Macaca fascicularis: one gene and its partner. The protein of the gene in region 2 purifies or fractionates together with the protein of the main gene of each other region. This does not show direct contact. Links are inferred from orthologs where the notes say so. Each region holds a gene or a part of one and is shown on either strand. Other genes may lie near its edges.

Region 1 (7,089 bases), on a different chromosome or scaffold from region 2:
AAGACCCTGTCTCAAAAAAAAAAAAAAAGACTATGGCCTCATCGTTTTGGAGATGCATGAATTTCAAGACAGAGAAACGTGCTCTGTAACAACCTTTGCCTGAAGTTACTTCCTGAAATCACTTGCAGTTGTCCCACAACAATTTACTTCTATAATATTATATTACCACAAAGGGATGCTGCAGAGGACTAATGGAGAAACCGGAGATCACAGATCAAGTAAAAGAATCTTAAAACTGAAAGGAATTTAGAAGTCTATTTTTACTCCCTACCCAATGGCTGAGTCCTCTCTAAAACAATCTCAACAAGTGGCATCTATCCAGCTTTTGTCTGAATATCTTCAATGCTGGAGAACCCACTATGTTTCAAGGAAGCCCAGTTAGTTCTAGTTATTAGAAATTTTCTTCTTATATTTAGTTGAAGTCATTCTCCCTGTAGCTTTCTGGAGCCATTAAAAGCCAATCTCAACCTGGTATGGTGGCTCATGCCTGTAATTCCAAAGCTGTGGTAGGCTGAGGCAGGAGAATCACTTCATCCCAGGAGTTTGAGACCAGCCCGGGCAACATAAGGAGACTCCTCCACCCATTGACTCTACAAAAATTTTAAAATTAGCAGTAGCTGGAGCTGGGGAGGCTGAGGTGAGAGGACTGCTTGGGCCTGGGAGGCTGCAGCTGCAGTGAGCCATGATCGCACCAGCCATAATTGCACACTGGACTCCAGCCTGGGAGACAGAGCAAGATTTTGTCTCACACAAAAAGAAAAAAGAAAAAAAAAAAAAAAGAAAAAGAAAAAAGCCAATCCCACACAAACCCGAAGTCAAAAGATAGAACTTACAACCTCTTTACCTCTTTTAATTATGTTTGTGCTAGTGGTGCTCACAGGGGCCAGTGACAAGCCTAAATGTTACTGGTGGGGAAAAAGGAGGAAAAGAGAATAATCTGAAAAGTTGAAATGGAAGAAGAAACCAGTATCTAAGTCTATACATTGGTATATATTGCCTACTATTAGCCTAAGCACTATTTTTGGCCACTTCTGAAATATTTTTATTTTATTTCAGCAAATTGATGAAAAAAAGAAAGAATTTCATGCAGAACTATAATGCCAGAAACAATTTTACTAACTCCCAGCTAGTGTAGGAGTGAAAAAGAAACAATCAAATCTTACTATTCTGTTTATAAAGACTAACACTGGATATCAAATACTGTAAGATATGTAGTTCATGGCCATTTTACATTTGCCACAACCGAAACAACAGGGCTGAGGGAATGGAAAATTAGTTTTGTCATTTGTGATAGCGTGTAGCTTACTGTAGCAGTATGATATTTTTACCTCTACCCTCTAGACTTCTTTAAAAGCTTGAGATATCTATCCCAAGTTGAACTTATAATTTTTCTTCTTATTATTCTTTTGAGACAGAGTCTCACTTTGTTGCCCAGGCTGGCAGTGCAGTGGCACGATCTCAGCTCACTGCAACCACTGCCTTTCCGGCTCAAGTGATTCTCCTGTCTCACCCTCCCAAGTAGCTAGGACTATAGGCACACGCCATGCTTGTCTAATTTTTTTTTTTTAACTTTAAGTTCTGGGATACATGTGCAGAATGTGCAGGTTTGTTACATAGGTATACATGTGCCATGATGGCCTGCTGCACTCATCAACCCCTCATCTAGGTTTTAAGTCCCGCATGCTCTCCCTCCCTTTGGCCCTCACCCCTGACAGGCTCCGGCATGTGATGTTCCCCTCCCTGCATCCATGTGTTCTCATTGTTCAACTCCCACTTATGAGTGAGAACATGTGGTATTTGGTTTTCTGTTCCTGTGTTACTCTGCTGAAGAATGATGGTTTCCAGCTTCATCCATGTCCCTAAAAAGGATATGAACTCATATTTCTAATGGCTGCAAAATTTTTAAAATTTTGTTGTAGAAACAAGGTCTCACTATATTGCCCAGGCTGGTCTCACAATCCTGGGCTCAAGCGATCCTCCTGCCTTGGCCTCCCAAAGTGCTGGGATTACAGGTGTGAACCACCACACCTAGCCTCACAATTCTTTTTTTTTTTTTTTTGAGACGGAGTCTCGCTCTGTCGCCCAGGCTGGAGTGCAGTGGCCGGATCTCAGCTCACCGCAAGCTCCGCCTCCCGGGTTTACGCCATTCTCCTGCCTCAGCCTCTCGGGTAGCTGGGACTATAGGCGCCCGCCACCTCACCGGGCTAGTTTTTTGTATTTTTTTAGTAAAGACGGGGTTTCACCGTATTAGCCAGGATGGTCTCGATCTCCTGACCTCGTGATCCGCCCGTCTCGGCCTCCCAAAGTGCTGGGATTACAGGCTTGAGCCACCGCGCCGGGCCTCTGGCCTCACAATTCTTTTTTTTTTTTTCTTTTTTTTTTTTTTTTTTTTGAGACGGAGTCTCGCGCTGTCACCCAGGCTGGAGTGCAGTGGCCGGATCTCAGCTCACTGCAAGCTCCGCCTCCCGGGTTCACGCCATTCTCCTGCCTCCGCCTTCCGAGTAGCTGGGACTACAGGCGTCCGCCACCTCGGCCGGCTAGTTTTTTGTATTTTTTAGTAGAGACGGGGTTTCACCGTGTTAACCAGGATGGTCTCGATCTCCTGACCTCGTGATCCGCCCGTCTCGGCCTCCCAAAGTGCTGGGATTACAGGCTTGAGCCACCGCGCCCGGCCGGCCTCACAATTCTTTTACCCAATTCTCCCTTATTTATCAGGCTTTGCTTTCACCTATATTGAGACCTAAAGTGCACGCAACATAAGCACCTAGAGAGCTGATCCAACCTCATTGTCTACAAGTTTCATTTTTAGAGCTTGGAAAGAAAACTTACTCTGTCCCAGCCATTTATGCAATACCCTGGGAACTCATTTCCAGTAATGCATGAACTATAGTACTGGCAGGCAAGATTGAAATAAAGTAGATGAAACAGACTAAAAACACAGACACACACAAAAATGGGTGATTTTGGATTTAACTATGTTCATTTCATCTTTTTACCTCTTTCCTCAGAAAAGCTAAGCTTCCAGTTACAAAGGAAGACAAGAAGAAGATAAACTACTTACATTCAGACAGTGGTTTGAGAACAGTCTGGCTTTTGACATCTGACTCTACAATTTCAATAGCTCTCCTATAAAAAAAATTTCTAAAATTAATTTAGTGTGAGCCAAACCAAACACCATACCAAATCACCAGCCTCAAAAGCAGGCACATTAATGACTATTGCTTAAAGACTGCAACTATGAACAATGGTCATGTAGGCTAACATGGTTTAGCCTATACATATCCTATGTCTAACTTTAAAATTATGATGTTTTGTAATTTTAAAGCCCCCAAACAAAACTGGGTTATTTCTCAGATAAGGGGACTTAATTGCTTTGAAATAATTCATGGACGTCAGATTTGAGAAACTTCAATGGTTTCCTCCTAATAGATGCCAAGTAGGTCATCATACATTAAGCCAATGATAACATCTTGGATGAGGAGAAAATGTCATGGGTAGGAGAGAGGATATGTAGTGTGGGTGACTAACTAAAGGGAGCCAGCACCACCCATACACACCAAACCTAAAAGAGATATCTTCAGTTATAAATACATAGGATATGTGTAGGCTAAACCACCCTAGCCTACATGACTATTGCTCATAGTTGCAGTCTTTACCCAAGTAGTTTGCTGATTAGGGGAAACTTTCAAATTCAGGATCATGCAATCTAGCAATAGGAAGAGCTTACTCTCCCACTGCTCTCTCCAAAGTACTTTGCCCACAGGAAGCCATAAGCCAGACCTGGGTCTTCTGCATGGCAATAGGGGGAGGTTGGACCAGCAGGCCAGCACAGCAAGTATCATTTTAATGGACCCAGCGTCCCTACTGGGAAGGAAGAAATTTCATCAGTCAGCACAGAGGCTTTCCCCAGCAGGAGGGGCAGGGGGATGGGAAGGGAGAAAGAGGTCTGGAGTACAACTATGGGGGACCACCAACTGGAGGGAAGAAGGGGTGCTCACAAAAGGAAAGGAAGGAAAAAAGTCTAAAGGCAAAGATGGTTCAGGTCCATAAATAAACCTGCTTGAGACCAGCTAATGGAAAAGTAAACTGGAGTCTTTTTTAATACAAATGTAATTAACCAATCTATAATCACCACAGGGAGTGCCAGCAACATCTCATTTGTTTCTCCCTCTGTAGGTAATGGACTGATAATGTTTCAGACATTAACACGGTGGAAATCCAGAGCTCCCCACTGAGAAACAAGTCCTCCTTTCTGAGCGTAAAAAAGTAGCAGAACAGAGCCTCTTAAGCCACATTCACTTGAGTTACATGAGACAATTAACAGCATTTCTTTTTTTTTTTTAATAAAAGGAGGCAACAGTGCCATAACTCACCTGCAAACATCTAGTGCTTTGCGAACATCTCCTGAAACAGCAGAGACTTTGCGGGCACAGAATTGAATTGCAGCATTGTCCAGAACCTGATCTCTAGATACCTTAAGACAAGACATAGAATATGACAGTTTGAACTATAAGATTCTCCCTCGGTAATTTATGTCCCAAGCATAAATATTTTCACATTTAACCCTAAACTTGATTGGCAACTCCTTAGGGTCAAAAAGATGCCTTTTCTTCTCATAAATAATGGAGATATTTGAGAGTTTTCACACATTTAAGCATTTTGTATGGATGTGGTAGAAGTTCATAAATGGAAAAAAAGCAATCAGAACTGAAATTAGCAAAAATAAAATATCTATTTAGTTACTTTCAACAGAAAAAGTTTTTTCATAGGCCCTATTTTTTAAAAGTCATTAAAGAAAGCACTTGAGGCCGGGTACAGTGGCTCACACCTGTAATCTGAGCACTTTGGAGGCCGAGACAGGCATATCACCTGAGGTTAGGAGTTCGAGACCAGCCTGGCCAACATGGTGAAACCCGAGCTCTACTAAAAATATAACAATTAGCTGGGCGTGGTGGCGGGTGCTGTAACCCCAGTTACTCGGGAGGCTGAGGCAGAAGAATTGCTTGAACCCGGGAGGCAGAGGTTGTAGAGAGCCGAGATCATGCCATTGCATTCCAGCCTGGGCTACAAGAGCAAAACTCCATCTCAAAATTCCTCTAACTCCTGATTTTATTTCAACACTGAGACATCCAGTAAATGAATGAAGCAGAAATTCACATAAAAATGTTCTCTCTATGGTCCACAGGAACTTCTTGCTCCATTAATAAAGCAATTAAGGCAAAAATATTTTAAAACTATTGTTAAATTTTCCTAGCACAGGTGATCCAAGAAACACATAATTTGGCAAAATAGTTGGCACTGACTGACCTGAGTAAGTCGATCTTGCAAAATAGCGACTATCTGATTTCTGGTATAAGGTGGGAAGTTCAACAGCTGTGGCTTACAGTTTTCTCTAGCTTGAAGCCTAGGCAGAATTCTATCTGTGAGATCCAGGGTATTAGCAATACCTAAGGAAGAGATCAACAACATTGATCATTGGTTACATTATCCTAAAGGGAAAACTAAATCCTCTGAAAGCTAAATAAATTTCCAGTTATAGAATCTAGCGTCTTAATGTTGCTTCACAGCTGTCTCCTACCCCATCCCAATTGATAAGATATATCTATTAGGTAAGATATACCTAGTCATTTAACTTTCTATTTTGACAAGGCAGAAAGCTGGTTTAAGATAAAATAGTTGATAAATAAGCTGAATATATATTTAAAAAAAAAAAAACTTTAAAACCACCACGTAACATTAACAATTGAGCACTAACCAATCAGCACCAAGCGAGAATTGCTCAGCCATGGCCATTCAAATAGTGTGTACAATACATCCTGGCCTTTGCTGTCCAGTTGATCCATCTCATCCAATACCAACACACTATAAAAAGAGAAACAGTTAGAATCCATATTCACCTTCCTAACCCTCTAATGTTTGGTATAGGCTGTCTTCAGGTCACTTTCCTAAAGCTCAGACCAGTTTAAAGATCATAATCTATCCTATCTCTAGTTACTGTTACAAGGATACTCCACATCATCTACAAGTAATCCAATTTAAAATTAGGTGTATCTTCCTTCTCTTCTTTCCCTTTAAACTTATGTAACTATTCTTCAGAGAGCAAATATACAAAATGTACTTTTTATGGGCAACAGACCTTGCAGATTTTCACAGAGCAACATGAAGCAGAACAATACTTACATCATGGGGCCCTTGTCTGCAGTCATATGTTTTTCTAATTTCCTCATCATGTCCTTCCCAGCTGGCTTGGATACCTCTTCCTGACAAATCTCCTGAGCAATAGCTGGGAATACAGCCTGGGCACTCCTCAAGGACATGCAATTCAGCATGATAGTTTTAAAGCCTTTCAGTTCCTTCTGGAAAAAAAATGCAAACATGGTAGTTATTTTGGCCTCAGAAAATAAAGATCTGATAGAGCCTAAAATGTCTTTGAAGAGCTAACAGCGCGTAAGGAAGCTCTACTTTCATTTGGAAAGATTTAAACAATGAAATTACAAATGTCTTGTTTTAAAGAAACCTTCAATCTTCGAAACTTCTACTCTCTTTTCTTTTCTTTTGGAGACAGAGTCTCACTCTGTTGCCCAGGCTGAAATGCAATGGCACAATCTCAACTTACTGCAACCTCTGCCTCCCAGGTTCAAGTGATTCTCCTGCCTCAGTCTCCCAAGTAGCTGGGATTACAGGGATACACCACCACACCCAGCTAATTTTTGTATTTTTAGTAGAGATGGGGTTTTGCCCTGTTGGCCAGGCTGGTCTTGAACTCCTGACCTCAGGTGATCCACCCGCATCAGCCTCCCAAAGTGTTGGAATTACAGGCGTGAGCCACCACACCAGGCCTACTCTTTCTTAACTCTTTTTTTTCCTTTTTCTTTTGAAATGGAGTCTTGCTGTGTCACCCAGGCTGGAGTACAGTGGTGCAATCTCAGTTCACTGCAACCTCTGCTTCCCAAGTTCAAGTGATCCTCCTGCCTCAGCCTCCCAAGTAGCTGGGATTATAGGCACCTGCCACCATACCCGGCTAATTTTTTTTTTTTCTATTATTGGTAGAGACAGGGTTTCACCATGTTGACCAAGGTGGTCTCGAAC
Region 2 (7,593 bases):
GGCAAGGCCTGTGCTGGGATCATTCCACTGCCTCCCCCAGGCCTTCTTGAGACGCCCGAGGATCTGTGGGGCGCTGGCAACGTTCCCCTTCCCCTCCCACCGGTTCTCTTCAGAGCACAACTGTGGCTCACTGACACCTTGGCTCCTGGGCTCAAGCCATCCTCCAGCCTCAGCCTCCCAAGTAGCTGAGACTATAGGCACTCACTACCACACCCAACTAATTTTTAAAACTTTTTAGTAGAGGCCAGGCGCAGTGGCTCACACCTGTAATCCCAGCACTTTGGTAGAGGCCAAGGCAGGCAGATCATGAGGTCAGGAGTTCGAGACCAGCCTGCCCAACATAGTAAAGCCCCATCTCTACTAAAAGTACAAAAATTAGCCAAGTGTGGTGGCACGTGTCTGTAGTCCCAGCTACTCAGGAGGCTGAGAAGGGAGAATCGCTTGAACCTGAGAGGCAGAGGTTGCAGTGAGCCGAAACCACGCCATTGCACTCCAGCCTGGGTGACTGAGACTCCGTCTCAAAAAAAGGAAACAAACAAAAAAAATACCCAAACAAACAAACTTTTTAGTAGACCAGCCTGGTCTCAAACGATCCTTCCGCCTCAGCCTCTCAGAGCATTGGGGTTACAAGTGTGAGCCACCATGCACCCCCATTTTTTGAATAAACACTGTGGCCCTATCTGTCACTATGTTCACCTCTCCCAAGGCCCAACTACTTACTGCGGGGGGCCAGCCGATCAATGTACGACAGGAGTTGAGACTTGGCCACACCAGGATCCCCCATCAGACAGATGTTGATGTTGCCTGGAGGAAGGGAAGGCAGCCCTGGAATGACTCTTCTCCCAATACTTAGACAACAACAGAGCAATTTTGAGTTCTGCCTCCCTCTAACACCCAGCATTACTTCTAAGCCCTCCCTGTGTCCATGAAGGCAAGATGTCCACTCTTATACTCTGACCTACAGAGACACTTGTCATCCTTTTTCCCTCCTAAATGACTTCATCCCCCCGAGCCTCTCCCTTTTTCCTTCTTACCCCGGATCTTCATGCCTCGAGGAGACTGGTCCACACCCCCCACTAGCAGAAGCAGCAGTGCCTTCTTCACATCTTCGTGCCCATATATTTCTGGGGCGATTGAAGCTGCCAGCTTTTCGTAGAAATCCTCTTCTGTAGAGAAGTTAAGGTTGTATTTTTTGGGGGAAAAGGGGGCTAGGATGTAAATGGAATTTCCTCTATCTCCCCTGCCCCTCACCTGCAATCTGCCTCAGCTCCTCCCTGCTGAGCTCTCCAGCCCCAGACTCATCATCCTCACTCTTGTTCATCTTCACAATCCGATGGGCTTCCAGGTAGGTTTCTGAGAGTAAACCCTTGGGCAGGAAAATGCCAGGATACAGATGCAATCCCTTCAACTTGCCCATCACTGGATTCCCTAACGATTTCTTGACAAATCCCTGGGTTCTGTTTGGGGTTTTGCTGCCCACTTTTCTCTGTGCGAGTAGAATGAGTAGGTGAGGGAAAAGGGGACGATCCTCATGTCAAACTCTTCCTTACCTGTACCACCTGTCGGAACCCAGTGCGCAGGATTGGCAAGAAGATACCAGTGACGCTGACGTGGTCTCCAGGCTGGGCAATTCTCGTGTTCTCTCCTTCTACCAGCACCGTGATACTACGAGGGATGTTTCCCACGGGCACTTGATCACTCTAGGGGAGGGAAAGGCACATAAGGCCAGGAGAAATGGACGAGGACCCAACCTTCCCTCCCTAGGCATCCCACTCAAAGGCTCCCAGGCTGCCTAGTCACAGACAAGCCCACAGGAGGGCTACTGAGTTTCCCCTTCCCAAGGCTCTCAGAAATTCTAGTTCCACCTCCCTCCTGCACTTCCCTCTTTCGTTCTTCTTTCTTCCTGCCACTCCACAAGTGACTACAGGATTCAAGTGGACTCCCAATCCACCTGCCCAGGGCCACGTACCCCAAACTCACATGTTCTTGCATCTTCATCTCCTGGAATTTGATGAATTTGGAGCCCCGTGTCTGCAGATACAGCCGCCCTCCTGAGCGGTTGGTTTGGCACTCCTGGCTTGGGCACATGATCAGAGGCATGAAAGTTGGAGACTGGATCTAGGATGTGAGAACAGAAGCAGCAAAAGGAAGTCAGAAGCAAAAGAGCCCCATTGGGTCGGTCGGTTCCTTGAATCACATTTTCTCTTCATGGCAGACATCTTGGAAGTGTCAAGAACCCTTTGAACTTAACTCTGGGTCAACAACAAACACCCAAGAAATAGGTAGAAAGACCATTACATACCCAACAATGAAAGGCAAACACACAGGCAACTTTTACAAGCAAAGAAAATGATAGGCATCACGGGATCAAATTAATCTCTACAAAACGACTAATGGGTAAGGGCTTTCCTGCTCCTTGCTCCACACGTACCGGCTGGTAGGTCTCTGCCCCACACTGGTCACAAGTGTAAGTGGCCACCACCATCTTGGGTTTGACTTCAGAGACACGAGTGACAATTCCACGCACAGTCACCAATTTCCCCACAGAGTCAGCCCGCACTTCCCGGATCACACGAGGCTTGTTGCTACTTGGGCCTTGAAAATACAGCTCACTAAGGGGAGAAAACAGTCACAAACAAGATCCTGGAGAACCAATCCCTACATACTTCCAAACAGAGACCACTCACAATCTGCGCATGAGTTCAGCAGGGTACTGGTTCTGGGGGCTTCGGGCTGTTCCAGGGTCCCGACTCCGCTGCTCCATCATCAGCCGATGCTCAATGTAAACGTCCAGGACATCTTTATTTACCACCTAAAGGAGGACAAAATAAACAAATAAATAAATAAACGAGCAACAGGATGGGGAAAGGAGAGTGCAGAGAACACCAGACTGAAATGCCCCTTCTTTCTGCCTGCTCAGAAAACATCAGTATCTGACCAGCCTCTCTACAGAAGCTTAAATGCCTTTCCCTTTGTTTGCCATTGTTCTCTAGCCACTCACTTCCCTCTCCTTGTACTGAGGCAGCAGCTCTTGTACGGAATCGGCAAAGAGCTTTGCGTAGCGCCTGGCATTCTCACAAATTGAGTCCACCAACTCGGGGTCATCCTCGGCTACGTCGTCCAGGTCCACATACAGAGCCACTTGTTCCCGATGAGCCAGCCGAACCTCAGGTGAGAAAGAGACAGAAACACCTCAAAGCCACATTCACCTTGTGCACCAGTGTTCATATGTGAAGATACATTACTGAGAACTCAGCACAGGCTCTGGGCATCCACAGGGGGGAACACAGCACCACTTAGAGAGATACTTGCTTCTCAGCCCCCAAACCCTCTAATTATTACCTCTTTAATAAAACCAGCCAAGCTACTTCTTATGGCTCCTTATGCACCCCACTTCCCCATTCCCTTTACCCAATCTTATACTTACCAACTGGTTCCCATACTTGAACTGCTTCTTCCCAAGTTCATCATCCTGGTAGAACTCTTGTAAGAACTTCTTAACCTTTTCTGTAACGTGAAATGTAAAATCATAAAACATAAACTTTAAGACACATCACTGCCCATCCCTCTGATAGAAATCTAAGATACCTATTTTCGCTTAAAACACAGCCTATGAACTAATAATATGAACATTTAAATAAACTACCGAATTCTCCCCAAAGTGGGCATAACTCTTTTGCACAGTCTGTTTTAACCAGCGAAGAATAAAGAGCCCGGGGCAGTGCACAGGGCGATCCAACATCTATTCCCCAGGGGAATTCCTGTCCCTACTTTAGTTTAAAATCCTAGCGCCGTTCCCCATTGGCCTCCCACACTCCGGCCTCAAGGTTCTCAGCTTTCTTTCCACCCCCATGATCCCCTGCCTTCTTTGGGTCCCCCGAGCCCCTTATCTCACCGAGACCTCCGCCACCAGGCAGGTCCCGCACCCCACCACCGCTCCCGCCAGCGCTTCCGCTCTTAGTAAACAAAGAAGCACATGGGCCCGGATTCCAGCCGCTTCACAGCCCGGGATTCCTCCGCCCGAGGCGGGAGCCAGTTCAGCCATTGGCCAGCACGCCCAGGGCCACTGCGATCCCAGCCCACTGCCGCCTTTCCCGGGCCCGAGCGAAGCTCCCGGATCCCAGGCACGCCCCCCCGGGTCGCAGCTCTCTCCGAGGCCGCCACGCGGAAGGACACTGTTTACACGACACTCCCTCCACCCGCGTCGCGCCACTTCCGCCCGGCTCCACTTCCGCTCGGAGGGCGGCCTCAAACGGCCAATCCCGGCACGTAGCGGCCCCGGCTTGCCCGCCCCCGGGGCCTCCGCGCGCCTCGGGGAGGCGGCGGGAACCTGGGAATATCCAAAAGCGCGGAGGGAAGCGGGTCCGGGGTCCAGAGCCCTTAGAGTCTCCTGAGGTCCTCGGCGCGACTCTTCCCTGTGCAGCCCTCAGCCGGGTAGCGCCCCCCAAGCCCCCCAACTCTATAACACCTTTCCCAAGTGGGATTACTACCTTTTCTTCAACGTCGATGCCCCTCGCGCGCCTTCCAGGTCCCGTGGGCCTTAGCCAGGCCGCAACCCGACCCTGCCTCTGGCGTCGCGCGCCCCAGAACCCGCTGACCCCGGTCCTCGAAGACCCCAGCTCACATCAACAGGTGTTCCCCGGGAGGCTCCCCGCGCAGGACGCCCTCCCAGGCTTGTAGACCCGTACCTTTCTCTAGCGCGTAGTCCTTCAGTGCCATCGCTGCCGAGGCCTGTGCGGCAGCTCTTGGCGGGCTCAGAGGTCTTGCTTCTGGGGAAGCTGAGAACGTCCGCGCGGTGGACTGTGGCCGGCCAACCGAAATTGGCGCGAAACGTCGCCCCCCACGTGACCAGCGCCACTGCGTGCGGGCCAATCGGAAAAGCCGGCCCTTTCTCCCTCCCGCTAGCCGCAAGCCAATCGCCGGGCGGGCCTCGAATGAGTGACGGGGAGGCGGTGCGGGAGTCGGAAGGGAATCTCCGGGCGGGGTGGGGCGGGCGCCGGGTTTCCCGCGGTCCAAGCTGGCGCGGCGGAGGAGAATCGCTCTTAAAGGGCCAGCGCACGCGCGTTCTTTTGTTCCGGGGCCTCAGGGCGGGGCAGGCCCAACTTTCGCCGTCTTCTTGTCTGCTCTCCAGGACGGCCATGATTTCCCAGTTCTTCATTCTGTCCTCCAAGGGGGACCCGCTCATCTACAAAGACTGTATCCTAGACCCTCGGGGCTGGGAAGGGGCGGAGGGACCGGGCGGGAGGGGCGCCCAGGGCCAGCCCGTGTCGCAGGATCCTTCACTGAGTCCTTCCACCCGCCAGTCCGCGGGGACAGTGGCGGCCGGGATGTGGCCGAGCTCTTCTACCGGAAGCTGACGGGACTGCCAGGAGACGAGTCCCCGGTTGTCATGGTAACCACTGGCGGGAGGCGGGTGAGGAGCTGGGCCCGGGCGGGCCGGGTGGGCGCCGTCTCCCTCCCAGGACTGGTTCCATGGTAGCTTCCACTTGGGGGTTGTATTTCTCCAAGTAAAACTAACAAGAGGCCCGGCGCGGTGGCTCACGCCTGTAATCCCAGCACTTTGGGAGGCCGAGGAGGGCGGATCACCTGAGGTCAGGAGTTCGAAACCATTCTGACCAACATGCTGAAACTTCGCATCTACTAAAAATACGAAAAAAAAATTAGCTGGGCGTGGTGGCGGGCGCCTGTAATCCCATCTACTCGGGAAGCTGAGGCAGGAGAATCGCTTGAACCGAAGAGGCAGAGGTTGCAGTGAGCCGAGATCCGGACACCGCACCCAGCCTGGGTGACAGAGCGAGACTCCGTCTCGGGGTAATGGGGGTGGGGGAAAAAAAAAACGTCCATTGGGCGCCAGCAACACACCAGGCCCAGCTCCCTGCGTGACTCCATTATCAGCAACTTGGGGTAGTTACTATAATTAACCCCGTTTCCACATGGGAAGCTGGGCTCAGGGATCTGTCATGTATCTCCCAAACTAGTAAGAGGCATCGGGATCCCAGCTCAGGTCTCCTGGGTTCTGATTACTCCACCTCCCTTTTCCTAACCCCTCTTCTCCCTGCCTGTGTTTCAGTATCACGATGGCCGTCATTTCATTCACATCAGACACAGCAGCCTGTATTTGGTGGTAACAACTTCAGAAAACGTTTCTCCCTTCAGCCTCCTAGAACTGCTCTCCAGGTGAGGAGGGTTGGGCTGGGCACCTGCTAGCTGGCAGGGGTCTGAGAGGAGGAGGAAATACACGCTCCAAGTGTTTCCTCAGGTTGGCCACTCTTCTGGGCGATTACTGTGGCTCCCTGGGCGAGGGGACCATCTCCCGCAATGTGGCTCTGGTCTACGAACTCCTGGATGAAGTGCTGGTGAGAATCAATGATCCCCTTCTGTGGCCCCCACCTAATTCCCCTGGAGATACATCTGCTCTTCTACTGTGGGATGCTGTGGTTAGGAGGCCAAGTCTATTTTTTTTTTTCCTTTTAGAGACGGTCTTGCTCTGTTGCCCAGGCTGGAGTGCAGTGGTGCAATTATAGCTCACTGCAGCCTGGAACTCCTGGGCTCAAGCTATTCTCCTGCCTCAGCCTCCTCCCCTGTGTCCAGCTCATTGTTTATTTTTTGTAGAGACGGGAGTCTCGCTCTGTTGCCCAGGCTGGTCTTGAACTCGTGGTCTCAAACCATTCTCCTATGTCTCGGCCTTCCAAAGACCTGGGAGTACAAGAGTGTGCCACCATGCCTGGCCCCACTCCCCCTTTTTACCCCTTCCCTCCACTGACCACTCGGACTGTCCTTCCTTTACCACTAGGACTATGGCTATGTACAGACCACATCCACAGAGATGCTGAGGAATTTCATCCAGACGGAAGCTGTGGTCAGCAAGCCCTTCAGCCTCTTTGACCTCAGCAGCGTTGGCTTGGTCAGCAGAGGGAAAGAGGAGGGTGAGGAAGGAGAAGAGGGGTTGGCTGGGGTTGTCAGACCTGATGATTGATTGCTTTGGATGCTTTACAGTTTGGGGCTGAGACACAACAGAGCAAAGTGGCTCCCAGCAGTGCAGCCAGCCGCCCTGTCCTGTCCAGTCGCTCTGACCAGGTGAGGGAGGAATCCATGGGGTCAGACCCTCTGGTTTTGCTCTGGGACCCCAGAGTCCAAGATCTTACGTTGGGGCGCAGTGGTTCATGCCTGTAATCCCAGCACTTTAGGAGGCCGAGGTGGGCGGATCTCCTGATGCCAGGAGTTCGAGAGCAGCCTGGCCAACATGGTAAAACCCAAAAATGCAAAAAAAAAGAAAAAGGAAAAGATCGGCTAGGCGCGGTGGCTCAAGCCTGTAATCTCAGCACTTTGGGAGGCCGAGACAGGCGGATCACAAGGTCAGGAGATCGAGACCATCCTGGCTAACACGGTGAAACCCCATCTCTACTAAAAAATACAAAAAGCTAGCCGGGTGAGGTGGCGGGCGCCTGTAGTCCTAGCTACTCAGGAGGCTGAGGCAGGAGAATGGCGTAAACCCGGGAGGCGGAACTTGCAGTGAGCTGAGATCGGGCCACTGCACTCCAGCCCGGGCGACAGAGCGAGACTCCATCTCAAAAAAAAAAAAAGATCTTGACA

What was found. Proteins that work in one complex are often made in the same cells at the same time.
Region 1: the proteins of MCM7 (region 2) and CDC6 purify together in Homo sapiens (affinity purification with western blotting; 3 studies listed by BioGRID). This does not show direct contact. The link is inferred for Macaca fascicularis from reciprocal best matches to the Homo sapiens genes MCM7 and CDC6.

The regions. Positions count from the first base shown.
Region 1 is NC_088390.1:61,378,194-61,385,282, reverse strand, and holds part of CDC6 (cell division control protein 6 homolog), read right to left. Parts: intron 6,357-7,089; coding exon 6,181-6,356; intron 5,863-6,180; coding exon 5,756-5,862; intron 5,448-5,755; coding exon 5,308-5,447; intron 4,475-5,307; coding exon 4,374-4,474; intron 4,253-4,373; coding exon 4,133-4,252; intron 3,127-4,132; coding exon 3,062-3,126; intron 1-3,061. UniProt on the Homo sapiens protein: Involved in the initiation of DNA replication. Also participates in checkpoint controls that ensure DNA replication is completed before mitosis is initiated.
Region 2 is NC_088377.1:48,750,567-48,758,159, forward strand, and holds the start of MCM7 (DNA replication licensing factor MCM7), read right to left. Parts: upstream 4,817-7,593; 5' UTR 4,720-4,816; coding exon 4,689-4,719; intron 4,189-4,688; exon of another isoform or gene 3,896-4,188; intron 3,508-3,895; coding exon 3,428-3,507; intron 3,167-3,427; coding exon 3,002-3,166; intron 2,947-3,001; coding exon of another isoform or gene 2,939-2,946; intron 2,813-2,938; coding exon 2,688-2,812; intron 2,613-2,687; coding exon 2,432-2,612; intron 2,119-2,431; coding exon 1,981-2,118; intron 1,701-1,980; coding exon 1,551-1,700; intron 1,367-1,550; coding exon 1,252-1,366; intron 1,167-1,251; coding exon 1,035-1,166; intron 805-1,034; coding exon 721-804; intron 1-720. Other genes in the region: AP4M1 (AP-4 complex subunit mu-1), read left to right, coding at 5,139-5,196, 5,304-5,413, 6,071-6,177, 6,260-6,356, 6,794-6,904, 6,997-7,077. UniProt on the Homo sapiens protein: Acts as a component of the MCM2-7 complex (MCM complex) which is the replicative helicase essential for 'once per cell cycle' DNA replication initiation and elongation in eukaryotic cells.